Oryctolagus cuniculus: one gene and its partners. The protein of the gene in region 2 interacts with the protein of the main gene of each other region in a biochemical or structural test. Links are inferred from orthologs where the notes say so. Each region holds a gene or a part of one and is shown on either strand. Other genes may lie near its edges. The genes, in order: SNCAIP, PRKN, MTOR, RNF41, UBE2G1, UBE2Z and PARK7.

The links.
Region 1: of the proteins of PRKN (region 2) and SNCAIP, one has a biochemical effect on the other in vitro, tested with the Homo sapiens proteins (3 studies listed by BioGRID). The link is inferred for Oryctolagus cuniculus from reciprocal best matches to the Homo sapiens genes PRKN and SNCAIP.
Region 3: of the proteins of PRKN (region 2) and MTOR, one has a biochemical effect on the other in vitro, tested with the Homo sapiens proteins (2 studies listed by BioGRID). The link is inferred for Oryctolagus cuniculus from reciprocal best matches to the Homo sapiens genes PRKN and MTOR.
Region 4: the proteins of PRKN (region 2) and RNF41 form a complex in vitro, tested with the Homo sapiens proteins (2 studies listed by BioGRID, with this or other methods). The link is inferred for Oryctolagus cuniculus from reciprocal best matches to the Homo sapiens genes PRKN and RNF41.
Region 5: the proteins of PRKN (region 2) and UBE2G1 form a complex in vitro, tested with the Homo sapiens proteins (5 studies listed by BioGRID). The link is inferred for Oryctolagus cuniculus from reciprocal best matches to the Homo sapiens genes PRKN and UBE2G1.
Region 6: the proteins of PRKN (region 2) and UBE2Z form a complex in vitro, tested with the Homo sapiens proteins (2 studies listed by BioGRID). The link is inferred for Oryctolagus cuniculus from reciprocal best matches to the Homo sapiens genes PRKN and UBE2Z.
Region 7: the proteins of PRKN (region 2) and PARK7 form a complex in vitro, tested with the Homo sapiens proteins (2 studies listed by BioGRID, with this or other methods). The link is inferred for Oryctolagus cuniculus from reciprocal best matches to the Homo sapiens genes PRKN and PARK7.

What each region holds. Positions count from the first base shown.
Region 1 is NC_091437.1:12,134,091-12,137,590, reverse strand, and holds part of SNCAIP (synphilin-1), read right to left. Parts: coding exon 3,381-3,500; intron 1-3,380. UniProt on the Homo sapiens protein: Isoform 2 inhibits the ubiquitin ligase activity of SIAH1 and inhibits proteasomal degradation of target proteins. Isoform 2 inhibits autoubiquitination and proteasomal degradation of SIAH1, and thereby increases cellular levels of SIAH.
Region 2 is NC_091436.1:6,277,527-6,281,026, forward strand, and holds part of PRKN (E3 ubiquitin-protein ligase parkin), read left to right. Parts: intron 1-2,565; coding exon 2,566-2,729; intron 2,730-3,500. UniProt on the Homo sapiens protein: Functions within a multiprotein E3 ubiquitin ligase complex, catalyzing the covalent attachment of ubiquitin moieties onto substrate proteins. Substrates include SYT11 and VDAC1.
Region 3 is NC_091438.1:157,064,153-157,068,379, reverse strand, and holds the start of MTOR (serine/threonine-protein kinase mTOR), read right to left. Parts: upstream 2,801-4,227; 5' UTR 2,666-2,800; intron 418-2,665; 5' UTR 388-417; coding exon 226-387; intron 1-225. UniProt on the Homo sapiens protein: Serine/threonine protein kinase which is a central regulator of cellular metabolism, growth and survival in response to hormones, growth factors, nutrients, energy and stress signals.
Region 4 is NC_091442.1:59,005,958-59,009,112, reverse strand, and holds part of RNF41 (E3 ubiquitin-protein ligase NRDP1), read left to right. Parts: intron 1-674; coding exon 675-946; intron 947-1,281; exon of another isoform or gene 1,282-1,328; intron 1,329-1,368; exon of another isoform or gene 1,369-1,485; intron 1,486-2,111; coding exon 2,112-2,247; intron 2,248-2,587; exon of another isoform or gene 2,588-2,635; coding exon 2,636-2,739; intron 2,740-3,155. UniProt on the Homo sapiens protein: Acts as E3 ubiquitin-protein ligase and regulates the degradation of target proteins. Polyubiquitinates MYD88. Negatively regulates MYD88-dependent production of pro-inflammatory cytokines.
Region 5 is NC_091448.1:49,558,710-49,562,688, forward strand, and holds the start of UBE2G1 (ubiquitin-conjugating enzyme E2 G1), read right to left. Parts: upstream 2,801-3,979; 5' UTR 2,395-2,800; coding exon 2,349-2,394; intron 1,959-2,348; exon of another isoform or gene 1,874-1,958; intron 1,321-1,873; exon of another isoform or gene 1,138-1,320; intron 1-1,137. UniProt on the Homo sapiens protein: Accepts ubiquitin from the E1 complex and catalyzes its covalent attachment to other proteins. In vitro catalyzes 'Lys-48'-, as well as 'Lys-63'-linked polyubiquitination. May be involved in degradation of muscle-specific proteins.
Region 6 is NC_091448.1:25,128,948-25,132,447, reverse strand, and holds part of UBE2Z (ubiquitin-conjugating enzyme E2 Z), read right to left. Parts: intron 2,401-3,500; coding exon 2,289-2,400; intron 1-2,288. UniProt on the Homo sapiens protein: Catalyzes the covalent attachment of ubiquitin to other proteins. Specific substrate for UBA6, not charged with ubiquitin by UBE1. May be involved in apoptosis regulation.
Region 7 is NC_091438.1:159,764,181-159,767,680, forward strand, and holds part of PARK7 (Parkinson disease protein 7), read right to left. Parts: coding exon 3,474-3,500; intron 268-3,473; coding exon 181-267; intron 1-180. UniProt on the Homo sapiens protein: Multifunctional protein with controversial molecular function which plays an important role in cell protection against oxidative stress and cell death acting as oxidative stress sensor and redox-sensitive chaperone and protease.

The DNA of each region.
Region 1 (3,500 bases), on a different chromosome or scaffold from region 2:
GACTACGGGGGGAAGTTGGGAGAAATCTCTAAGGTCGAAAGCGAAAGTGAAAGCTAGAACAAACAGATTCAGATGCGGACTGTGGGGAGAGGCCAGGAGAAATGAGGGAGGAGTATTGTTGGAGGAAAGCTTGGGGAAACATACCGGGTAGAGAAAAATGTTAGGGAAATTGAAGCCGCGGGGGGCAGGCCGAGGCGGAAACGAAAGCCACTTTGGGGTTCTCAAGTTAGCCCGGGAATGGGGGGCGAAAAGTTGAAACCAGAAGCTGAAACGTAAGCCAGATTGGGATCCGTCTGATTAGCCCGGGGAGCAAAGGATGGGAAGCCAAACCGTGGGGCGGAGACGTAAGCTGGGTTGAATTCGCCAGGCTAGCCCGGGGAACTTGGATTGAATGCTAGTGGTGGAGACGCAAGCTACGCTGTGTGACTCGCGGAAGCCGCCGCGTGCAGAGAGAGCACGGGGCGTGAATAGATAGGGAACGGGGCTGGCGCGAGGCCGTGGTGCAGACGCGAAGGGCGTAGAGACCGCGGAGTGTGCGCGCGAAGCCGAGCCGCGCAGATGAGAGAGGCGCGGGCTGAAGCGGCTCAGAGCCGGCGAGGCGCCGAGAAGCAGCCTCGGGGCGGAGCCCGCTGGCGGGGCGAGGCGCCCGGGAAGCCGCGCGGAGCCGTGAAGCTGCCGGCAGGGCGAGGCGCCGGGAAGCTGCAGGGATAAGAGAAACAGAAGTTTAGAAGTAAAAGGAGAGAAACAGGAATGCTGGAAGATAGAAGTGGAATGGGAGAAATAGGAATGCCCGGAGATAGAGAAATAGAGAAGTAAGGCCTCCCCACAGCATGGCAATGAGAGAGCTTGGATTCGGTCTGCCTGATTAAGTGAGGCGATGAGCACCTGCGGCGGCTAGCAGCTTATGCGCCGCAGGCCACCGAAGACAGGCACGAATTAACATCAGTAAGGCCTCCCCACAATACAACAATTAGAAGGCTTGGATTCGGTCTGCCTGATTAAGGCGGTAAGCACCAGCAAGCAGCTCGACCAGAGTATGAGCTGCAGGTCACCGAAGATAGGCACGAACCAACACTAATAAGTCTCCCCCACAATACGGCAATGAGAAAGCTTGGATTCGGTCTGCCTGATTAAGGCGGTAAGCGCCAGCAGGCGGCTCGATCAGAGTATGAGCCGCAGGTCACCGAACACAGGCACGCATCAGCGCCTAAAAACCTCCTCACAACATGGCGAAGAGAGGACCCGGATTCGGTTTGCCTGATTGATAGGACTTGTAAGAACCTGTGGCAACTCTAGCAAGCAGAGCAGAGTGTGTGCCATGGGACACCGAAGACAGGCGCGTATCAACGCCAAAAAATAAAAAGAAAGGGGGATCTGTGGGGAGCAAACCGGACTAGACTGAGTTACTGGAATTAAGACTTATTCTATGCATCTGCTCTCCCACAATATGGCGCTGGGAGAGAAGTAAACAGCTTCCGCACAGCTGCCTCCAGTTCAACCAATAAACTGTAGGACTTGCTCCTGATTGGAGGAGAGCAGCGTACTCGGCGTGTGGGCAGCCGAGTTGGGATTGGCGGAGGAGGACTATAAAGGAGGAGAGAGACGGCATGCACCAGGAACATCTAGGGGGAACATCTGAAGGAACACCTGAGCAGCCCCCGAGAAAGCCGGCCGGCGGTGTGCCGCTCCCCTGCGGAAGTGGGGAATGTGGCCAGGGGGAACTGCCCTTCCACGGAGGTGGAAGGGATAGTAGCCAACCCGGGAAGAACCAGCAGCAAACCCGGGGAGGGCCGAGCAGACGAAAGAACAGCGCAGGGTCCTGTGTCGTTCCTCCATGAAGAGGGGGAGCGACAGGGCTGGGTTTCTTTCTTTCTTTTTTTTTTTTTTTTTTTTAACAGGCAGAGTGGACAGTGAGAGAGAGAGAGAGAGACAGAGAGAAAGGTCTTCCTTTGCCGTTGGTTCACCCTCCAATGGCCGCCACGGCTGGCGCACTGTGGCCAGCGCATTGCGCTGATCCGATGGCAGGAGCCAGGTGCTTCTCCTGGTCTCCCATGGGGTGCAGGGACCAAGTACTTGGGCCATCCTCCACTGCCTTCCCGGGCCACAGCAGAGAGCTGGCCTGGAAGAGGGGCAACCGGGACAGAATCCAGCGCCCCGACCGGGACTAGAACCCGGTGTGCCGGCGCCGCAAGGTGGAGGATTAGCCTATTGAGCCGCGGCGCTGGCCTAGGGGCTGGGTTTCATTCCCCACTGCAGGTGTTAAGCTGGCCAGGAACTGCAGAGCTGGCTGGACTGCAGACTACAAAACGCCTGCTTCTACTTGCGCTGTGGTGGGCACCTGGGACACAGCCCCTCCCCGCAACTCTGAGGCAACTGGAGGCTCCCTGGCCTTTGGTTTTCTCACCTCTAGTGAAGTCAGGTCCCATGGGTGTGATGGGTGGACAGCAATGGGGTGTGAATGGAGGGGTTAACACTCAGGAAACAGGGAAACAGGGCAAGGACCAAAGAGAGTGAGAGGGGACAATGGAAAAAGACTTTTTCAGGAGAAAGAAAAATGATTTGGTAAAGTTGTTCAGTCATATTGCCCTATTACAAGACCACTTGTTTTTATAGACCAAGCACGCTGTACTTAATCTCTGTACGGCTTACACTCAGCAGAATCCCACTGCCAAGGTGCCATGATTCTCCTGAATGAGACTCTGATTAGCATCCCAGTGTGTGCCCAGGCTCGCTGCTGTTTGATCCAAGTCTGGAAGCAGCTAAGGGACAATGTAGGTACATCAATGCTGTCTCAGTCTGGGAGCCTAAGCAGAAAAGATTTTTTTGGACACCAACGTCTAGAATCCTTGGGGGAGCCTCTCTAGAAGAGGAGACCTGGAACTGAGTGACAAATCCCCGGGGGTCAGCAGGCATGCCAGCTGTGGGGTGAGCCTCTATCTCCAGACACTCCTCAAACACCCCGGTCCACCTCTTCTGCACAGTGGCCAGGATCAAACAGAAGAGGCTCTGTTCACGTATCTGGCAGGTCCACCACCAGCGAGGAACTGACATCCCCCAAACAGTGAGAGCATTCAGGACCACCTGAGAAACAAGATCGTGCTGGCTCTGGGTTGTTTTTGTCTTAGATTAAGAGCCTTTACTCCGGCAGAATTCATGCAAAGTTGAGATGAAACAACACTCCTCTGTAACTAATTGCTTTCCCCTATTAACCTCCAGACTTCTTATTTAAAAATGCAATGGGACACATCTCTCACCCAAAGCAAGCCACAAGATTAAGCAAGAAGCCAAACAGCTGCATCATCAGTCCGTTCCTAACAAGCGGAGCTGATAAAGACAGTCTTGAGATCAGGAAGGCGCTTGCCACGCAAGCGGCTACTCACCAGGAGCGAGATCTGCCCTTCTCTGACAATGTTCAGGATGCTCTTGACTTTCTTCTGGTGCTCAGTCTTCTCCTCGGGGCCCTGGCAGGTGGGCCAGCTCACGCTGTTGACCTGCTCCTC
Region 2 (3,500 bases):
CATTAGAGTTAGATTGAACTGAATGTGAATTCTGATTAAAAAAAGTTGTTGATGTCCTTAGGAAGGTGATTATAATTCTCTGGGCCCTCATTTACTATTCTATTAAATCAGGATAATAATGGTGACCTGACCAGATCTAAGGTATAACACCGGGCACATTGTAAGTACCTGATGATTATTGGCATTGTAATTATTATTTTATTATAATCATTATTAAGTGGGTCATCTCATTTTAATTGAGAGCAAGTTGGCAATTATGCCATATTTAAAAGAGAAATAATAGTAAAATTACCTGGCATTGAGTTTATCATCTTTTAAAGAAGATGAAATGTACACCCAAAATAACTGAGACACATGCAAATATTTACTATTTGGAAAGTTACCAGAAGTTACTAGGGAAATACTGCAAAATTTTATTTAATGTGTCACATAACATTCCCCATGGTTTGTTCATATGTTCAAGATTAGAGTTGGGGCCCCATGTTGTGGTGCAGCAGGTTAAGCCATTGCCTACAACACCAGCATCCTATATGAGTGCTGGTTCAAGTGCCAGCTGCTCCACTTCATATGCAGCTTCCTGCTAATGCTCCTGTGAAATCAGTGGAAGGTAGCCCCAGTGCTTAATCCTGAAAGCTCTGGTCTGGCCCAACACCTGTCATTGCAGCCATATGTGGAGTAAACCAGTAGATAGAAGATCTGTTTCTCTCTCTGTCTTTCCTTTTCTCTCTGTCACTCTGCCTTTCAAATAAAATAAATTTTAAAGAAAATAAAAGAATATTAGAGAGCTGAGATTCAAAGAGTGAGGGTTAGTATGTTTATATTCAGGCTACAAAACCTACAAAATCCACAAAGGAGCATATAGATGGATTTGAACCTCTGTGCTATGTTGCTTCTACCTGGAACCTGTCAAGTGTTGTAAGACTCACATAATAAATGTCACTGGAGACCTGCTCTGGCTGAATGTGTCCCCAAGGCTCTGGTCTGTGTGTGGGAGGCTTGGTTCCCAGTTAGGAGGCAATTAGGCCATTGGAGGCATCACACTCGGAAGGGATTCATGTAGTTCTTAGTTCTTGTGGAACCTCAGTTCTCACAAGAGTGGGTTGCCATAAAATGAGGTCTCTTTTTGGGCTTGGCCTCTTTTGTGTGCAGCCATTTCCTTCCTACTTGTCCACAATGTTGTGAGACAGCCAACGGGGACCTCGGAGAGGCCAAACCGATGTAGCTGCCTAATTTTGAACATGCAGCCTCCCAAACTGTGGAGCTGAATAAACCTCTTTTCTTGAGAAGAAAAACTTCAAGTGTCTTTTTTTATATCAACAAAAAATGGATTAATATCTGCAAAATCAATTTTTTGCTGGATCTGATAGCAGAAGGTGACATGGTCAGAACTCTGGATTGATAAGTCTTCTTGTAGCATGGTGCGGGGGCTTTCAGAAGTGAAGAAGAATGGATCAAGACTCCCGTTTGGGGGCCGGGGCTGTGGCACAGTAGGTTAATCCTCCGCTGTGGCGCCGGCATCCCATATGGGCACTGGTTCTAGTCTCGGCTGCCCCTCTTCCAGTCCAGCTCTCTGCTGTGGCCTGGGAAAGCAGTAGAAGATGGCCCAAGTGCTTGGGTCCCTACACGCACATGGGAGACCAGGAAGAAGCACCTGGCTCCAGGCTTCAGATCGGTGTAGCGCCGGCCGTAGCGGCCATTTGGGGGGTGAACCAACGGAAGGAAGACCTTTCTCTCTGTCTCTCCATCTGTCTGCAACTCTAACTCTCAAATAAAATAAATAAAATCTTTTTAAAAAAAAAAGACTCCAGTTTGGATGCTACTGCAAGAATCTAGCAAAGATTTGATGAGAGGCTGACTTAGAGCGGTGCACGAAGTTGTGGAAAGGAGAGTTCTGGCTTGAGAGGCATTGAAAGGGGGTGGCCACTGAAGTGAGAAGACAGCAGGCAAAAGACTGTGTGGTCCCGGTGGGGAAGAGTGGCTGCAGAAAGAGCAGTGCTGTCAGACGCTTCAAAAGAAAAGGAGAATGATTGTGTCCATAGCCCCAGTGGAGCGTTTTGTGCAGCAGCTGCGGCACCGAGAGGGTCTTCACTGTGGTCTGTGAAGTGGCCTGGACCTTTTCCATTTCTCCTTGAGTGCTGCTGGCATACTGCCTTTTCTTTTTGTTAGGAGGGGCCCTATGGATGGCGGGCGAGTTTGTACAGGCTGTCAGAGCTGAATCTCCTATACGAACTCCTGGGAATCTTACAATTCCAATCAAGCAAGGGTTCTGCTTGACTCCCTCTCTTTCCCAGAATAGATGTCAAAGGGAGTGTGCAATTTTGGTTTGCGGGTCACTGACTAATATATGAAAGGGAAATCCTACTGGGAAACTCCATTTTTCCTCAAACTATTGCTCCAGATAGCATTAGTAGCATTATTATTTTTTTGTTTTAAGTGAAAGAAAATGTGTGCCATTCGTTGAAGGGCAGGTGAGGGTAAGTCAGTTCAGAAATGCTGTCACTGCGATTTGAGGGCTTCAAGTCAGGCTCACTGCCTTTCTTTTCTCTTCCCATTTCTGTGGTTCAGTGTTCGTCAGGTTCAACTCCAGCCACGGTTTCCCAGTGGAGGTCGATTCTGACACCAGCATCTCCCAGCTCAAGGAGGCGGTTGCTAAGCGACAGGGGGTTCCAGCTGACCAGTTGCGTGTGATCTTCGCAGGGAAGGAGCTTGGGGATGAGTCAACAGTGCAGGTGAGTCTCCCCGGGCGGATTGCTCCCAGGACACCACTAGCCCGATTGCCAATGCCGCTTCTGCTGCCAATCTGACATTCATGCCCGAGATCTAATAGAATAAATAGTGCCTGGGGATTCCTTGAACTTTACTCCACAATGCTTCATTAATTCTGACCTTCTTAATTATGCATTAAAACGGCAAGCAGTAAGGATTGGAAGCACCGCTGTAAGTGAGGGGGAGAGAGCGCACGGCCCGCGAGCTGGGCACCGTGAATAAATGTTTACTGACTACAGGAGCAGCAAGGCACAATTTCTGTGTCTGTTCAATTTCTACCTTACTTATTCCGTTTGAATCTTAATGAAGAAGGAATCGAATAAATTGTGCCCAATCAGGCTGCTCAGTCACTGCGCTGTGTGGATTCGTAACCCGAGTGTGACCCCTGGAGGACGCTTGGGGTTGCCGCCGCGTGTACTGGAGCAGGTGCCTCTCAGACCCATAGTCAGCTCCTGAGAATCGCTTGACCAGTTCCAGAGTCTGGTGGGGAAAGGAGAAGGCCTGGGCACAGCAGAAGGCTGCTTTGCATGCAGTTTTCCTAAAGTTCTGTCAAATTTTCTCTCAAACAGACCTCTGGCGACTGCAGAGTGAGCCTTGCGTGTCCTCTGCTCCCAGGGCATCCCAGCTCAGTGGTGATTTTTGAGGGAATTGGGGGTTTATGACAGTGCCGTCACCTAGTAGGACAGCCAGTAGCTTGCTGGGGAAGCAGGCCAGTAAAATCTGCATGCTAAAGG
Region 3 (4,227 bases), on a different chromosome or scaffold from region 2:
CTGCCACCCACGTGGGAGACCTGGACAGAGTTCTGGGCTCCTGGCTTTGGGCTGGCCCAGCCCTGGCTGTCGCAGGCTTATGGGGAGCAAGTCAGAGGACAGATTTATCTCTTCACCTTTCAACATCAAATGAAAACCGGCTAAGTAAAAGGTGAAATACACCAGTGATGGCACGTCCGGCCCAAACACCCCACGATGACGGGTGCCAGATCCCTGAAGGCTGACCTCGCGGAGCTCCATGGTGACGTAGTGCTGGAGCTCCTTGGCAGCCTTGGCCCTGGTCTCCTCATTCCGGCTCTTCAGGCCACTGGCAAACTGCTGCAGGACGCTCACGTTGCTTGAGGTGGCGGCGGCGGCGGCGGCAGCGGCGGGCCCGGTCCCCAGCATCTTGCCCTGAGGTTCTTTGGAGAAGAGCTCCTTTTATGTTCCAGAGAGCAAACCATGGCAGTAATTTAGGGCCCCAGTTATTCAACGGGGATCTCCACCCAGCCCCTATCAGCTAGTGGACCCTAAAAAGGTGGGGAGACCACACTGAGGAACATTCGCAAAGCCTTGATTCGGGGCCACCGCTGTGGCGTCGTGGGTAAAGCTGCATGCAACTCCCACAGCCCGTATGTGCGCCGGTTGGTGTCCCGGCTGCTCCACTCCCTATCCAGCTCCCTGCCAGTGGCCTGGGAAAAGCTGCGGCAGATGGCCCAAGTGCTTGGGCCGCTGCACCTGCATGGGGGACCCAGAAGAAAGCTCCTGGCTCCTGGCTTTGGATCAGCTCAGCTCTGGCCATTGCAGCCATCTGGGGAGGGAACCGGCGGATGGAGGACCTTTCTGTCTCTCTGTGGCTGCTTTCAAATGAATAAATAAATCTAAAATACACACAAACAACAAGTAAGGGCCACACTGTGACACTGGGTTAAGCCACTGCCCGCGAAGCCCGCGTCACATATGGGAGCACCAGTTCGAGTCACCGCTGCTCCGCTTCCCATTCAGCTCCCCGCAATGCGCCAGGGAAAGCAGCAGCAGATGGCCCCCCACGCAGGAGACCCAGAGAAGTCCCCGCTCCTGGCCTCAGCTTGGCCCAGCCCATGCTGCTGTGGCCATTTTGGGAGTGAACCAGGGGATGGAAGACCTCTCTCTCTCTCTAACTCTGCCTTTCAAATAAATAAAGTCTTTTTTCTAAAAAGAGAAAACTGGAATTAAAAGATAAGTTTACTTAAAAAAAAGGTGAAATCAAAATATGTTCCTTCATCCAATATCCCCCAATATTAGTTTAAAATGTCATCAATGTGAAGAATTATTGATACATTTTCCATTCTTTTTTTTGTTAAGTCTCCAAACTCCAGTGAACATTCACGCCCAGGCAGTCTCGGTGTGCACGGGTCACAGGCACAAGCGGCTGCTCACTGCAGTGGACAGTGCGCTACAGGACACTACCGTGGACAGCCACACTTGCGGGTTCAACCAACTGTGGACTGAAAACCTCCCACACAAGTTGAGCCTGTACTGAACACATACAAACCTTCACCTTGTGACGAGACACGTTCCGGGCATGACTTAACGCACACGGACACAGACACACGCAAGACCACATCCTTTTACAGGAGCAGCTGGTGTATCCTCGCACACGGGGCGTGTCCTAGACCGATCCCCGGGGAACACCAAGGGGCGACTGTGTAAGAGACAGTTAGTCCCGACCACCGATCACTCACTCCTCAACTGCACGACTCCTTCTCTCTGACAACCGGGGGGCAGGGAGGAGGCTACACCAGGCAGTAAAGTGGCCAGGACAGGGCTGAGCCCCCACAGCTGTGATGGAAGTAACATACCCCTAAGTGTGTCCAGATCACTCTAGAAAAACTTGCCAAAATTCTCATTTTTGGAACCAATTTGTGACACGCGGAGGAAGAAACATGGCAATAATTGGCTTTGGAAAGTCTTCAGACACTCCAGTGCCAGAGGGCCGCAAAAGTTAGGGTCGTTCCTTAGGGGCCGGGGAAGCCAAGGATCCCTAAGAAAGCTACCGCACTTGGTGTTGGGGGCAGGGAGAAGACGGGGCCCAGGCACTGCCAAGCGCTGGAAAAGCGAGACCCCGCGCCACCTGCTCCAGGCTGACCTCGGCCTCACTCCTGGAGGCCGGACGTCCCCAGGGTCTTGGGGAGGCTTAAGGAAGTCAAGGTTGCAACCAGGACGGCTGCACCCCGGGACGGAGGCGGGGGAGAGGCAGAGGGGATGCATCCCAGGCAGGGGACTCGGCTGCCGGGAGCGAGTCTCTCATGGGCCTCTAGGGTGGAGCGCACGGCTGACACTGAGGTCGGGGCGCCCCGGAGCAGGGCTCCCCAATTCCCAGGTGGCTACGAAGGGGGACTGGGACGGGCAAAGGAGACCCTACGGCGCCACGCCGGTGCCGGAGCTGACGGGCCGGCCGGCAAGGAGCTGGGACCCCGGCGGGCCCAAAGACCGGAGGGTCTCCTGGGTGTCCTCGGGAGCTGGGCGTTGCCTCGTGGCGTGGAGTGGGGTCAAGGCTAGGGCGGCGTCCAGGTCGTGGGCCGGTACTGAGTGGATCCCACGTCCCGGCCAGGCGGCTTTCCCGGGCACCTCCCTCGGACCAGGCTGGCCGTAGGTCTGGATATTCTGCCGCCTTACAGAGGTCGGTGCCAGGCCACAGACTCACCGCGCGGCTTCGGCCAAGGCCTCAGCAGTCGCCGCCAGCACCGGTACCGCCGCTTCAGGCCCCCAGTCCCACCACCCGCCTTCCCCGCTGTCCTCTACGCCGGGCGGGAGAGTGGGCGGGCTCACAGCCCTGAAGACCAATCGGCAGGCAGAAGAAAAAGATGGACTGGAATACAGGCCAATAGTAATGAAGGAGAAGTGAAGCTTCGGGACCGGCTTCTCAAGAGGGCGGGGACTGTTCAAATAGACAAACCAGGCGGCCAGTGCCAGGCGAAAACAGCATTAGGTTCGCTCGGGAGAACCAATCGCGCGCGAGTTGCCCTCAGTCACTTCCACGCACACATCCGGTGCATCATTACTATGAGTCCCCCGCGCATCGCGGCCGGGGGCGGTGGTTCGTGACCCCGCGCGTGTGCGCGGTGCGGGCGGGTCACCGCAGCCCAAGGCGGGCTTCTCGCTCTCCTGATAAATTTGACAGGCACGTGAGACTGTTCTGAGTTTTCTCACTCTCCCAGAATTGTCTGGCTCGCAAGACCACTCCCGAGAAACCGTAGCTAGGTTTTGACTGAAAAAGTAACATCATCATGAAAAAAAAAAAAACTTTCAAAAATATCGAAAAAAATGGAATTTGTCTCACAATTCTGTTTATTTTAGTACACACTGAAAATTCCTAGATCTCCCGCAATAGGTATCTGATTAATAAACAGGCATATGTGTTACGCAGTCGTTAGTGATGATAGGGTAAATGAATATTTGCTAAGAAGAAAAAGGTTTGCAGTCTGTTACAAAATTACAAATGATACAATATAGTTGCAATATAACCCTTTAAAATTTTTCATATTATATATGTGTGTTTCTGTGGGGGAAATGCGATGGGTTTGGGGCGACGCCTTTTTCCTATATACATTACCAACAATTATGTGTGTAATAAAATATTTATTTATTGAAGGAATGAAAGTTTCCATAAGATTAAACTGCCATAATAAAGGGATGTATAATATTCTGTGGCTAACAAAATGCTTAGGCAGTTTTTTTTTTTTTTGAAAGAGAGAGAGAGGTAGAGACAGAGAGAGAGGTCTTCTATCCGTTGATTCACTCCCCAGATAGCTGTAATGGGCAGAGCTGAACTGAGCTGAAGCCAGGAGCCAGGAGTTTCTTCCGTGTCTCCAATGTGGGTGCAGGGGCCCATAGACTTGGGGCGTTCTCTGCTGCTTTCCCAGGTCATTAGCAGGGAGCTGGATCGGAAGTGGAGCAGCCGGGATTTCAGCACCCCTATGGAATGCCAGCACTGCAGCCCGGGGCTTTAACCCTCTGAGCCACAGCATGGGCCCTAAGAAGCTTTTTTTAAATTATGATTACAACTTTAGGTTGTTGGCTTTTGTGAAATCATTGTTCCTCTAAATTTCACGTTTGTCATTGGTGTTCAGCGTCTATATTGTCAACCATTGCATTTTTCTCCTAGCAATATATTCAGCTCAAGTTGCAAGTGAATTATGTCAATCATGAAAATCCTGCCCCACCTCTGCCCGTTCACTACTTATTTCCTTAGTTTCTGGGTATCCC
Region 4 (3,155 bases), on a different chromosome or scaffold from region 2:
GAAGCCAGGGAGTCTTCTCACCCAAGGGGCCCATTTCAGAGTTGCTTCTCAGAGAAGTAGGCTTAAAGGTGGTCTTTGTGACACTGAAAGAATGTGATTCCACAAACAACCGAGGCCTGTTACAGTTTCCACTCTGTAAGCATGGCTGCTTGGACTCTGGGCAGCACCTTAGGTCAGCCTTCTCAACAGGGTCCCAGGCTTTTGTAAACTTTTGGTTTCTTATATTGAACTTTTGCCAGTAAATCTCTGTTCCTGTCCTTTCTACATATGTAGTCTGAACCGGCCTTTAAGACCTGTGTCAACTTCTGTCCTTGACAAATAAAAACCTGCTGTGATTGACCTAGCCTGGAAAGATCTTCCCTCCTCTGGACTTGTTGAGCAATTTATTGTGTGTGCAATCCAGGTGATAATTAGTAATCAGTCGCCTTATGTCATCTCTCCTATTGTCCTGGGATGTTATTTCTAGCTGTGATTGTTATATAACTTCTCACTCCTTTGTCTTGTTTTATACAACCTATTTGCAATCTTGAGCACAGGAAACATTTTAAGCCTGTGCCCCACAATGCCTTGGCCACAGTAGACCTCTGTGACCCCCAGGGGGCTGTGACCGCAGTAGCTGTTGAGAGGCCCAGACGGCAGCTCTTAGCCCTGCTGATTCCTGTGCTCCCTTCCAGGCGCCTCATTGCGAACATGCTTTCTGCAACGCCTGCATCACCCAGTGGTTCTCTCAGCAGCAGACGTGTCCGGTGGACCGTAGCGTTGTGACGGTCGCCCACCTGCGCCCAGTACCTCGGATCATGCGGAACATGTTGTCAAAGCTGCAGATTGCCTGTGACAACGCTGTGTTTGGCTGCAGTGCTGTTGTCCGGCTTGACAACCTCATGTCTCACCTCAGCGACTGTGAGCACAACCCGAAGCGGCCTGTGACCTGTGAACAGGGCTGCGGGTGAGATTCCTTCCCCTGTGTCCCAAGCGGATAAGGGCCTTCCTGCCTGCACCTCTGTCTCTGGGTTCCCTGCTTACCAGTGCATGCAAACAGCACTCTTGGCCTCCCTGGCTCCCTGCCCCAGGTCTTACTCTCTCACTGCGCTTCTCAACTATGTTTTTGCTGTTGCTTTAATAAAAGGGGATAGAAATTCAGCAGTCTGTGCGATAGCACTGAAGGTGGATCCACTTTATTCTTTCCTTTTATTCCAGTACTTTCTCTGTGTCAGGTTGGCCTTCTCTTATTTCCTTTTGCCCTATTTTTTCTTTCTGTGGGGTGTGAAATATTTGATAAACTGCTGATAGCTGGGGCTTCTCAGAAGGAATAAGTGGGTAGGCAGAATCTGTAGGGGAAGAAGAGAGCTGGGTGGTAGCTCAAACACCGTGGCCTGCCCTTCTGCTACACATGCTCAGGTCTGGCAGGACACACGGCGCCGTCCCTCTCAGAGTAGGAGGCCGTCTTAAGAAAGGGGCTGGCTCGAATGGGCATGAGAGGACAATTCAAGGGGAATAAAGAAGAAAAGGAGGCCAGCGCCGTGGCTCAATAGGCTAATCCTCCACCTAGCGGCGCCGGCACACCGGGTTCTAGTCCTGGTTGGGGCTCTGGATTCTTTCCCGGTTGCCCCTCTTCCAGGCCAGCTCTCTGCTGTGGCCTGGGAGTGCAGTGGAGGATGGCCCAAGTTCTTGGGCCCTGCACCCCATGGGAGACCAGGAGAAGCACCTGGCTCCTGCCTTCGGATCGGCGCGGTGCGCCAGCCGTGGCGGCCATTAGAGGGTGAACCAACGGCTAAAGGAAGACCTTTCTTTCTGTCTCTCTCACTATCCACTCTGCCTGTAAAAAAAAAAAAAAAAAAAAAAAAAAAAAGAAGAAGAAGAAAAGGAAAAGAAAAACATGTAAGAAAATAAAACCCACCAGGTCCTGGAGGAGGAAAGTTCACAGAAAGTAGACAGCAAACGAGCCAGGAGACAGGAAGCACTGGGAGAAGCATGTGAAGGCAGCCTGACAGAAATGCTAGACCCCTGCGGTAGGCAAGGGCCACTCAGCAATCCTGGGCTGCAGGATAGACCATTTGGCCACACAGCCCACTGACTGCACCTGTTATGCTCTTTCCCCACCTGGGCCGCAGCTTGGAGATGCCCAAAGATGAGCTGCCAAACCACAATTGCATTAAGCACCTGCGCACCGTGGTCCAGCAGCAACAGACACGCATCGCCGAGCTGGAGAAGACTTCAGCTGAACACAAACACCAGCTGGCAGAGCAGGTAGGGTTCTGAGAAGGGGGGGGCAACATGTCCTTCACGTGCACGTGACTACCTGCCTGGGAGCAGCAAGCCCCATTCACGAACACAAGGGCCTGTGCTGTGAGCTGGGTGAGCGGACAGACACTGCAGCTCAGCAGGGAATCCGAATGGAGCTCCCCTTGCCTCCCTTCCTCCAATCGTGCATTCGTTCTTAGGTTCATTGAGTGCCGTCTCCGTGAAGGCACCTTGCCAGGTGTTGAGACTGCTGTGAGTCCTGTCCTCATCTTGCTGAAGCTTCTCGTTTGGTTGTTCTCATATCTCTGAATTGCTCTCATAACTCAGAGAAACTTTTCTCTTTTACCTGTTGTCTGCCGTAACGATCATCCTTGGTTCTTCTTGCCTCCAACAGAAGCGAGACATCCAGCTGCTAAAGGCATACATGCGTGCCATCCGCAGTGTCAACCCCAACCTTCAGAACCTGGAGGAGACAATTGAATACAATGAGATCCTAGAGTGAGTGTCACACCCCAGCCAGGAAATGGCAGTAAGGGAGCCGGGCTGGGGCCACCACTGATCGGGTGTTGGGATGAAGGACAGGGACAGAGGAGAGGACGATAGCCCTGAGCTCCAGTGCAGGATTCTGATTCATTTGGGTGGATGGAAGGGGGTCTGCCCAAGGATGGAGTTTATCTGGAAGTAGCTGAGTACCCACCCTCACGAAGCCCCGTATGAAAGGCTATCGAGGGCTAGGAGGGCCAAGCAGAAATAGTAGACACTGTCCTTATCTTCAGGTAGCTTGTGACCCAGAGCTGAGAAGGCAGAGTGGCAGTCCAGGAAAGGGATCTAAAATCAGCGTAAACAAGCAAAGCAAACAGTAAAGTCCAAGGTCCCTGTCAGTTCTGGAGTCCTGTACACACAGAGACTGACCT
Region 5 (3,979 bases), on a different chromosome or scaffold from region 2:
AATCAGGTTCTTCATTACAGTCAAAATACACTGGGTAAAATTCTCCAAGTAATGGATTAAGATCTTTACGGACTGGCAGGCTAAGAGCTCAATAAATAAAACTACTGTAGGTTCTGGAATTCTAGCAGACAAGATGGCTTACAGGTTTGCTATCTACTCGGTTCAATACATCTCAAGATTCTTAAACCATTTAGTATATCTTACAAAAGTTCACTCTGATTTCAAGAGATTACATTTTACCATTCTTCCCTGTTTCCACATGAAGCTCCCATAATACACTACTAAAACGAAACAAGGCCTTTATTTAAGTAAACAATTATCAGGTCTTTCCAAATAAGCTTGAACTACATTTAGTTAACAAAGTGCCTTGGCCTACTCTTGATTACTTTTTGAACATGTTCATTAAAATCCTTCAAAAACTTAAGAATTAAGAGCAGTTTCATTATTTATAATCAAAAAGGTTAACAAAAGTTAATCAGAAGCTAAGCAACTTGACAAATTATAAACAAAACCACCCTCCCCTCTACATTAAAACATTTTAGTGTGCCCTCACAGAAAATCAACCACCAATAAAGAGCGCTCAGAAGTTTTCCCGATATTTGAGATTATTATTGTTTTAAGAAGAATGCAAAATGGAATAGAGTAACATCAAAATCTATTGTTGGCTCACAAATGGCTGGAAATAGTTTTGACATATTGCTGCTGTTCACACCGTATTTGTCTTAATTTACTTTCTCAGTAACTGCGTAACTCCTTTTATATCACTTAAAATGTGTATCTTTTCCATTATGTAAGAGTTGAGTGCTATTTTAAAACCAACTTAGTACTTTAATACTATTTACTAGCTCACCACATTAATAAAACTTAGTCTGATTAAAGAGTTCTTACGAAGGCCAGAAAAAAAATTCCTTCCTCCAAAACAAACGAAAGGACACAGAAGCTGTGCTTGCAAATATAAAACACATCAAGCTGTTATTCTTCCACTGCTATTCTAACATATTCTTCTTGGTGGGCAGTGCCAGTAGAACCTCCAAGTCACTCCCCCTGAACATCTAGAACTTTAATACTTGTCCAAACCTGCTTGCTCATGGTCTAATAATAAACCCAATTATACAATCTCTAACAGCCCCTGACAACCTTTTCCTTAAGAAGCCGCAAAGGTAATTTAACCACTGCCTCCAACTCTTAGTAAATCTATGGCGAAGTTTCTTCCCTCCAGCCGTCAGCTTCTGCGGGAGCTGGGGGCTGCCGGCCGCGGGGCGGGGAGGGGAAGATGGCCTGCTCGCAGAAGGACATACTCAGCGCGGCCGACGGCAGGGCTAACTGCTGGCTCATTTCTCTTTAAATCTGGCAGCACGTGGGGCGGCATTGTGAAGCCACCAACCCGCCTCCCCCCTCGCACTCCGCACACGTCCGTCCCCAGCGCGCATGCTCCGCTCACACCGTCCTAGCAGAGCAGGAGCCAACCCCCGAAAAAGTCAACCTGGAAGCCGCAAACGGCCGGAGGCCGGGACAATGGGGGAGGGGGACGCAGGCTCCCGCGGGCCAGCAGGGCCGGCCGCCGCCCCGGGCCAGAGCGCGCGGGCGCAGCCCCGGGGGTCTGCAGGCCCGCGCAGGGCCGCGGTGGCGGCGAGCACAAAGCCCCGAGCCGGCCAGCGGGCGGCTCTTCCCTCTGCCCGCTCCTACCCTCCCCCAGCCCGGCGGCGCAGCCCGAGCCCGTGCCAGGCGGAGGCAGGCAAGGCGGCGTCCCGCACCCCGCCAGCGTCCCGGGCGCCCGCGCGCCAGCGCCCAGGCCGCGGAGGCCGGCGCTTTTGTTGTCGGCCACAACTCCGCCGACCCGGCGCTGCCACGGGAGAAGTTTTGCGCGCCTCACCTATCCGGCCGGGGGCCAGTTCCGCTCGCCCACTCCCGCCGCCGGCTCCGACACCCGAGCCAGCGACGGCGACCGCGCGGGGCCCAGCGGCTCCAGCCTCCCCCCATCCCACCCCCGCCACCCCCCGAGAGGGTCCGGAGGCCTCGACCGCACCTGAGCCCGGGACCCGCCCCTCCGAGGGGGCTCGGCCCGGCCGGGGGCCCGCAGCCCCTCCCCCGCAACGTCCCACCGAACCGTGGGGGAGGGGGCAGCCTCCCCTCCGACCCCCGGGGCGCCCGAGGGCCGGGGCTGGGACGCGTCCCCGCCCCCAATGCCCTCCGAGACCCGGGCTAGAAGTGCCGGGCCCGTCTGGGACCCGTGCCGCGGACTCCCCACCCCTCTCAGGCCTGGTCCCCGCCGGCCGGAGCGGCCGACGTGCCGTCAGCGGCTGTCCGCGATCGCGGCCAGGCCCGCCGCCCGCCGCCCTCCCGCTCACCTGCCAGCTGTCTTCGCAGTAGCAGCGCCGACTGCAGCTCCGTCATCCTCCCCGCCAAGGGCCCAGGCTGCCGCCGGGGCGTTCGGAGAGCTGGGGACAGGCTCTGGGGGCGGCTGGAGCTGGGTGTGCTGAGGAACCCGGGCCCCGCGGACGGAGCGCCGAAGCAGAGGGAGGCCGGGCTGGGGCGGCAGTGGTGGCGCCTCGTTGCCGATGCTAGTCCGCTGGGCTCGGCTCTTCTCACAGCGCCTCACGCCCGGAAGGGGAGGATACCCGGGCCGCCGCGGCGCGCACTGGGACTTCACTCGCCCGCTTCCCTCCTTCAACCCGCCCGTCGGGCCCCACCGGTGCCTTCCCCGGCCACTGCCTCACGGCGCGCAGGGCCGCTCCGCGCAAGCGCGCTGGGCCTGCCTACTTCGGAAGCGGCCCGCCCGCTGGCCCGACCCCTCTGCCTCTCCGCTCCGCCCCCGGCGGCGGGGCCCCGCCCACTGCGCGCCGGGGCCCTGGCAGCCGCCATCTTGGGAAGGTCCACGCCCGCTGACAGCTGAAGTCTCAGCTGGTGGACGCCCCGCGGACGCCATGACGAAGAGGTCGCCAAGGGTCAGGACGCCGCCTCGGGGGTGAAGCAGGTGGTGTGGGAATGAAGGGCCCCGAGAAAAGTGGCTAGTGTCTAGTTGTTGGCGAGCACCCAAAGGCTATCTAGCATTGCATACATGGTCCGCGAATTACTCATTGTTAGAAAGCCGAACTTGGTGCTGGTGTGCCCCATGTTAAGCCATAGACTTAATATAGGTTCCTGATTCAAGTAAAGGATGCACAGAAACACCCTTGGAATAAAGTGTTCTGTATCTCGTAGTGAATGCTCTCCGCGAGTAAAATGAGTTGACAATAGCAGAATCTGATAGATAAAATTCAAACTGACATCCAAAAAAGCATCTGTCAAAGTTTGAGATGCAAGGCTTGGGAAAACCAACCTCACCCTGCAGTCTGTTCTCTTCCCAGTTCTCGCAGTCTATATAAAGACATGGAGAAGGAAGAGTAATACCTTATGACACTCGGATTTATCTGTTCCTTCTGCAAATGTTTATTAAATTCGTAGTAACCATGTACTTTAACTACGGGAGACACGGAGAAGCTGTGTGTGGGAATGCGGTCTGATCCTCTGCTCTAAAGGGCTCACAGTCTCTGAGCTCCAGCCAAGGTCAACAGGAGAAGCAGATTCTAACACTTCTTTTTTAAAAAGATTTATTTATTTATTTGAAAGAGTTGAGCGGGAGAGACAGAGAGAGAGAAAGGTCTCCCATCTGCTGGTTCATTCCCCAAGATGGTCACAACAGCCAGGGCTGGGCCAGATCAAAGCCAGGAGCCAGGAGCTTCTTCCAGGTCTCCCACATGGGTGCAGGGGCCCAGGCACTTGGGCCATCCTCCGTTGCTCTCCCCACACCATTAGCAGGGAACAGAATTGGAAGTGGAGCCTGAACTCGAACCAGTACCCATATGGGATGTGGGCATTGCAGGCAGCAGCTTTACCCGCTACACCACAACATTGGCCCCTTTAACACATCTTTGTAACTATTAAAATTATTGTAAAAAGCTATCCTCTTCACTATCCTTCCCCTCTCCCCGCTAAGCCC
Region 6 (3,500 bases), on a different chromosome or scaffold from region 2:
ACCTTTCCCACTATATAGGAAAACCCTGAAGAACAACTATTCACACACACACCCCCCACTGTACACCAATCCCTAGCCTCTGCTACAGGTAGCACAATCTCTACTAAGCAATCTAAGACCCATCAAATATTCCAGAACCTGACGTGAAGGCCTATCAGGTAAGAATTCAGTGGAAAATAACCAATTTAAGAGCAATGGTGGGATCAAAAGCTGTAAACGATGTTAGCAGTCAGTGTGGAAACCTCTGGGCATTCACATGTAAAGGAAGCTTCTTGCTGAACGCCCTCACACATCTGTATGGTTCCACCACCACTGGGTCAACTGTAGAACCAAAACTTTCAAAGGAAACACTCCAACTCTGGTCTAGAAAGCTCATCTGCGCGTGTGCTGTGAACACGGGAGACGGCCTGCTCTCCTGAACGCTGCTCTTGCCTTCTCACGGTTCCTGCTGCCTCCAATTCCAGCAGCTCAGACTGGCTGCCGCTGAGCTCGTCCATTTCCAGCCCAGCACCGTGGTTTCTGAAACCCCGGGGGGCCAAGTAGGGATTTTTAAACTTCTGAGGGGAATCACCACATTCAACATGTCCAGTAACCATGTGAACTACCACTCTGAGATAGGGAGTTTGCAGTTTAAAAACTAAACTGTACCATCTTCCCACGTTATCTTTGTGAAGTCGGATTCCTAGTCACTGCTGTGAGAAAAAACAAACAGCATATGAAAACAGTGGAGAATAGCCGACAGGAGTGGCGAGGTTCAATCTGATTCCAAGATTTTCAAAGTTGTGCATTGTCCAACAGGTACAGACACATCCTTTAAGGAATTATAATTATTTACTAAAGAAGCTGATTAGATCCAGCCACTTCATAAAAGGAACAGTTTGGTATTTTTCACCTGGAGAACTGCAGAAAAATTATAAAACATCATGCATGTGTGAAGCACCAAAACCTGGGAACACTAAGAAGTAAGCACTCCTGAATTTCCAAACAAGGAAAGACCTTAAAATCAGCTCCTCGTTTAGCCAAGTCCATTACCATTACTGCCCACTCCTGAAATCAGGTACATTATTTGTTTGGAAAGGATGGTTTAGAGATTCATTTTTGTTGAAAAGAATATTTATTCAGGTCTATTACAGAAGAATGATAAATTTTAGTGCTACCTTGAGTACTTTAAGAATTATGCTGTTTTAAGCACCAAGATGGAATTTATTTTGAGAATATCACTGCAATTTTTTTCAGTTCTCAAGAACAATTCAGGAAAGCACTTTGGACTAGTGATAGAACTTGGCCTGAGGTACAAATCCAGGGTCCCGCACTGATCAGTGTGTTCTTGTGAAAGTTAATTAACCTGAGTCACTACTGCCTCACTTGAAAATGGGCATGACAACATCTCACAGTAACTTTAGCATGAAAATTAAACAAGAAATTATACATAAAAGGCCGGTGCCGCAGCTCAATAGGCTAATCCTCTATCTTGCAGTGCCGGCACACCGGGTTCTAGACCCAGTCGGGGCGCCGGATTCTTTCCTGGTTGCCCCTCTTCCAGGCCAGCTCTCTGCTGTGGCCTGGGAAGGCAGTGGAGGATGGCCCAAGTGCTTGGGCCCTGCACTCCATGGGAGACCAGGAGAAGCACCTGGCTCCTGCTTTCGGATCAGTGCGGTGCGCCGGCCGCAGCGCGCCAGCCGTGGCGGCCATTGGAGGGTGAACCAACGGCAAAAGGAAGACCTTTCTCTCTGTCTCTCTCTCTCACTATCCACTCTGCCTGTCAAAAAAAAAAAAAACAAAAAAAACAAAAAAAAAAACATAAAAACTTGACAGTGTCCAGCATATCTGCATGACATAAACTTGGAAAATGTGATTTTTTTCCGCCTTCTCTTTGACAGTGTTGACTAAAACATCCCACCCCCAGCTCAGGACTGGCAACTTTGCTCTGCAGGATAATGGCACTTGCCAATTCTGGTAGAGCCGCAGGCTGGGCAGGGTTCTTAAGGGAACACCCCAGACCACAGGTGCTGAAGAACCCACTGGCAGCAACAGCCCCAGAGCAGGCTCAGAATTCATTTCCGAAAGACTCCACTGACTTCCACACTGTAGGTTAATCCAAGCCAATACTTACTAGTGTTACTCTAAACCTTTTAAATTAAACAGGTTATCATCAAGGAGCAGGCATGTCAGCCCTATTTTTCTCCTACAGTGGCAATCAGGATATACAAGAGCTGTACCGGGTCAAAGAAAGATCTCCCAAAACAACTCGCATTCCACACCCGAGAGCTGGGCCCACCCGGCCTTACCTGTTCAAAGCCAGGCTCATTGTGGTAAGGGTTCTCAGTCATCAGGGACTGGATGGAGATGAGCACAGAAGAGATGCTCTGGGCCGGGCTCCAGGCTGGGCCAGTCCACGTACTGCAAACACAGCCGAGGGAAGGGGAAAGGGTCAGGTGGAGAAAGACCAGGGAACATGCCCTGGGCCCGAGCGCAGGCAGGGACTCACCACAAGTGAGTCCTTCCTTCACTAACACCACTCTGGAACTTCCCAGCCTGTCTCATCCTCACTCACCAGCAATCGGTCAGCTGCCTAATCCCGTCACGTGGAAAAGAAAAGGGGCCACGCAAGCAAGAAACTGTGACGGAATTTTCCTTGGGTCCGTAAAGAACAGCCAGGGAAGGTTAGAGATGACACCACCAAGGAATGAGGCAGGCAAACAGCTCCAGGGCTTTAGACGCCAACCTCTGTGGCTCTGAGAGAGCTTACTGGCTACGGGTGGCAATGCAGGTTGTGAGGGGAAAGACAAGCTGAGCACAGAGGCTCAGAGCCATCTGGGGGTGGGGGGGAGCACCCAGTTCTGCATCAAGCATTCTCTGAAGACTACACAAGTCTGCTGGGACAGACAGGCCACAGTGGGTCTGAAAATAATATATGGACAGCATCTTGACTATGAAGAGAAATACCAAAATTGCTCCTCTTTCATAAACCTGAGCCAGCCTTAGGGAGCAGCATCTTGGATAGTAATGGTTATTTTCCTTTAGCTCATGCCTTCCCTAACTGAAGAGATGGCACCAGAGCTGAGCCACGACTGGCTCTGTGTTGACTGGCCCCTGTCCTCTCCCGAGTCAGCAAGCTGTAAGTGGTGACTGCGTCGGAGGTGCATCTGAAGTGCCTCTCAAGCTCCTCTTGCCAGCGTTGCTCTCCCAGGGACCCTACACCTCCTACCCTCTGCATCAAATATTTGGGGGTTCAAGTTAACAGGGTCAATTCTCGTGCAATTTCTTCGGTCAGTCAATCTGCCCAGTACTTTGGCCTGTGTAGGGAGGAAAGGAATGAAGCTGGTACAGCTAACACAATACACTAAGAACATGTGGAAATTCTCTACTCCAAGTCTTCAGGATGCTTCATTTCTACCCAAAACAGTTCTGCCACTTTTACCTGACTACCCGACTCCTCCTGTTCCTACTGTGTGCAGTGTCTGCTTAAGATGGTCTGCACATTGGCCTCATGAGGGAGA
Region 7 (3,500 bases), on a different chromosome or scaffold from region 2:
TACGACCCCAGCCCCCAGCACAGAACACACCACCCCGCAGCCCCTGGTGGCCACGCGTGCAGAGGAGCTGAGACTCCCCCAGCTGCGCGGACCGTCCCTGCCCAACGGCTGACATGGCTGGGAAATGCCCAGTCCGCAGGAGAAGCCTTTTTGTGCATCAACTTATAAGCAGATACTTACTCCCATTCATCATTTTGTCTTTAGCAAGTGGGTGTGTGGTGACTTTGCTTCCAAAACCTATCTCATGAGCCAGCAGAGCCGTGGGACCTGGAGATACAAGATTAACACAAGATGTAAGTGCAGGTACAGAAAACGCGTGCGTTAGAAACTGCAGCAGCCACAGCATCTTCAGAGTCAAGCGGCTCTGCCCAGAAGAGCGGCTTCTGAACCACGGGAGAGCTGAAGAGTATGTTTGTAAGAAACCATCTGCCGGGCACATCCGGCGAGACTTCAACTCCCTCCACAACCACGGAGCCAGGAGAATGCCCCCCGATGCCACGGGAGCGCACCGCAGGACACCGACGCACCGCGAGTACCGGGACGGCTGCGCTCCCCTCTCACCGCTCCCAGCAGGAGGGACACACTAACACCATCGCACCTCTAGACTGCACGGCTGCAATTCTATTTTTCTACCAGAAAATGGAGTAGCAGATGAACATCCACCAACCCTCCCGTCCAAATTCACCGGCGGCAGGCTTCCTACAGGGACAGCAGGCTGCCCCGCCCGGGGGAGACGGCCTGGCGGTGTCCGAGAGGTCACGGGACCCAGGCGAGCAGCCACGCGGAGGGCAGCCTGCGCCTCTGCAGTGAAGTCTCTGAACGATGCAGGCACCAACTTGAGATTTTTATCCACATTTATTCACCGAAAGCGGTCAACTCAGGATCACAAGCATATTTATACTCAATGGGCTCAAACAAGGACTAAAACCAAAAAGGCTTTTTACTTTTAATTGTTCCCTTACTTTAAAGGTTTGAAAAAACGTTCACCTTTCTTCTCGAAGCCATACCTAGAGGAGCAGACTCCAGGGCAGCCTGCTGTGACAGCCGAGGGCAGGGGGCTGGCCGACGTCCCCTCGCACAGCCTGTGTTTGCTTCCACAAACCTGACGCCTTGGTCCTCCTGACCTTTCATTTTCCAACATGATTCCCAGGAAACGGTTATGTAACACACCTGCGGGCTGCTCAAGCCAGAGCTGCTGTAAACACGGACCAAACAAACTGCACCTGATTACATAAGCGCTCTACCTAACGCGAGGTGCTGGTGTCACTCCAAACGCGAGGTGCTGGTGTCACTCCAAGTTCTGATTTTTACTTCTTAGGTCAAAAGCCTCAAACACACGCGGGTACTTCAGAAAGGTTATGAAAAAAAAATGGAATTAAAAGATAATTTTGGTACAAAAATGTTTTGGAAATCTGTGCAGTGTTTCTATCACACACATCTCCCAGGAACCTTCTGCAAAGCCCCGGGCATGCTTTGGCCTTACTTGCATTGTACCAAATCTGCGCTGTCCAGTCTACCTGAGCGGACTCCCGAGGCACCTCTAATTCTTACACGGCAGAGCCGAGGGATAAGAGAGCCCCCGTCTCCTCTGTAAAGGGAGCGCAAGCAGAGCGGGCAGCGGGCGGGGCTCCAGCGGCCTGCTCCCCTCCCTCCCCTCCGGGTGAGGAAGCTGGGGAACTCCCCCACACCCTCCCTCACTCCCGGACGCCGGCACTTCCCGCTGGCTGGCCCGCCGTGTAAGTCCGTGATTACTGTCTTCTGGGGCTTCTGTCTATTTTGAAAAAGAGGCAAGGGCTGGTGCCACGGCTCACTAGGCTAATCCTTCGCCTGCGGCGTCAGCACCCCGGGTTCTAGTCCCGGTCGGGGCGCCAGATTCTATCCTGGTTGCCCCTCTTCCAGGCCAGCTCTCTGCTGTGGCCAGGGAGTGCAGTGGAGGATGGCCCAAGTGCTTGGGCCCTGCACCCCATGGGAGACCAGGAGAAGCACCTGGCTCCTGCCTTCGGATTGGCGCAGTGCCATTTGGGGGGTGAACCAACGGAAGGAAGACCTTTCTCTCTGTCTCTCTCTCTCAGGGACACTAAGCAGCCCGACTACTAGAAATTCTGCGGGGTGAGAAAGCTGCCGAGTCAGCACCGCGGCCCTGGGGGAGGGGAGGACTAGCAGGAGGCCCCGCGGCAGCCAAGGGGAAAGCCACCAGCGCCACCTGGTGGTGACTTAGAAAAGGACACCTGGCCACTGCCGGTGTCTGAGGCCCTGCTCCCACCTGAAGCCAGTCAACTCCTCCGCCCGGCCCCTACTCAGAGCAAACCTCTGTCTTCTTTTCAAGACAGCCTCTCTTCTGTGTCCACCTTTCTCACGCAGTATCAGCGCCTAACTTGCATCTTTTCATCCAAAACCTGCACTTGTTGCACCTGCTCTGCTCCCCTCCACGGCCCTCACCTCACTGCCGCAGAGTCAGGGTGTGCAACAGGACGAACACACCGTGAGAGCACGAGTACCAGACGAGGCCGATGCCAGGCCAGCTCGCTGACACGCAGCGCGCGCCTGCACCACGGCCTCGGGCCACAAAGCCGGCCAAACCCATCCTCCCTTCCTCTTCCCCAGCTCCTGGGGGCCCTTTGGCTTCATTTGGGCTACGTGACATCACCACCTGTCACGTGACCCAGTAGACCTGGGACATCTCTAGCACGCATGCCACGCCCACAGGACGGCACTGTCACACCCTGCTGTCACTTCTGAGAAGGAAAAAGGCCAATAACATCTTCGAAGCATCTGTTCTGACCTGACTCCCCAGAGGGAATGCTACAGTGACCAGTAAGGTCACGGGGATCCTCGCCTGTGACTTCTAAAGAGCCTACGCACTGAAGTAAGACGTCAGCGTACGATTCCAGCCAGCCAGCCATGTGGGCAAACATCTCAGAGACCTGCAGCAAGGCAGGCCCTGGGGAGGTCACACTACGGAAAAACGCAGGCTGGCGGAACATTATCCGATACCGGAGCAAGACCGGCTTGAAAACAGCACCAGAGGGCAAGACATCACGTTTCAAAGATGTGGGGACCTCAGAGGAGCGTGAGCGAGCCTATTCTAAGTCACGTGGCCGACGATACAGTGCCCGAGATCAGAGCCCACTGAGAGTCGGAGACCGCCAGGGAGGTGGCGGGAGGCGGCACGGGCCTCCCCTCTGCAGGGCAGCACAGGGCAAAGCTGCTGTTTCTGCCGACGATTCTGCTGACGCTGCTGGCACACACTCTTCCTGGCGCCAGACCTGCCAAGACAAGCTGTTTACTGAATTCCAGAGGGCCTTCCTCTCCTCCGAGGTCAACCAAACACGGAAAATGCAGAGCTGCAGAACGGACGCCGGGGCAGAGAGGTGGCGCACAGCTGCCCCCTTCTGAGGGGACAGCACCTCCGTGCCCCCAGCTCAGCAGACCCCACAAGGAAGGGCAGGAAGGGCAGCCCCCAGGCACGGTACCTGCGCAGATGGCCGCTATGAGGCCCT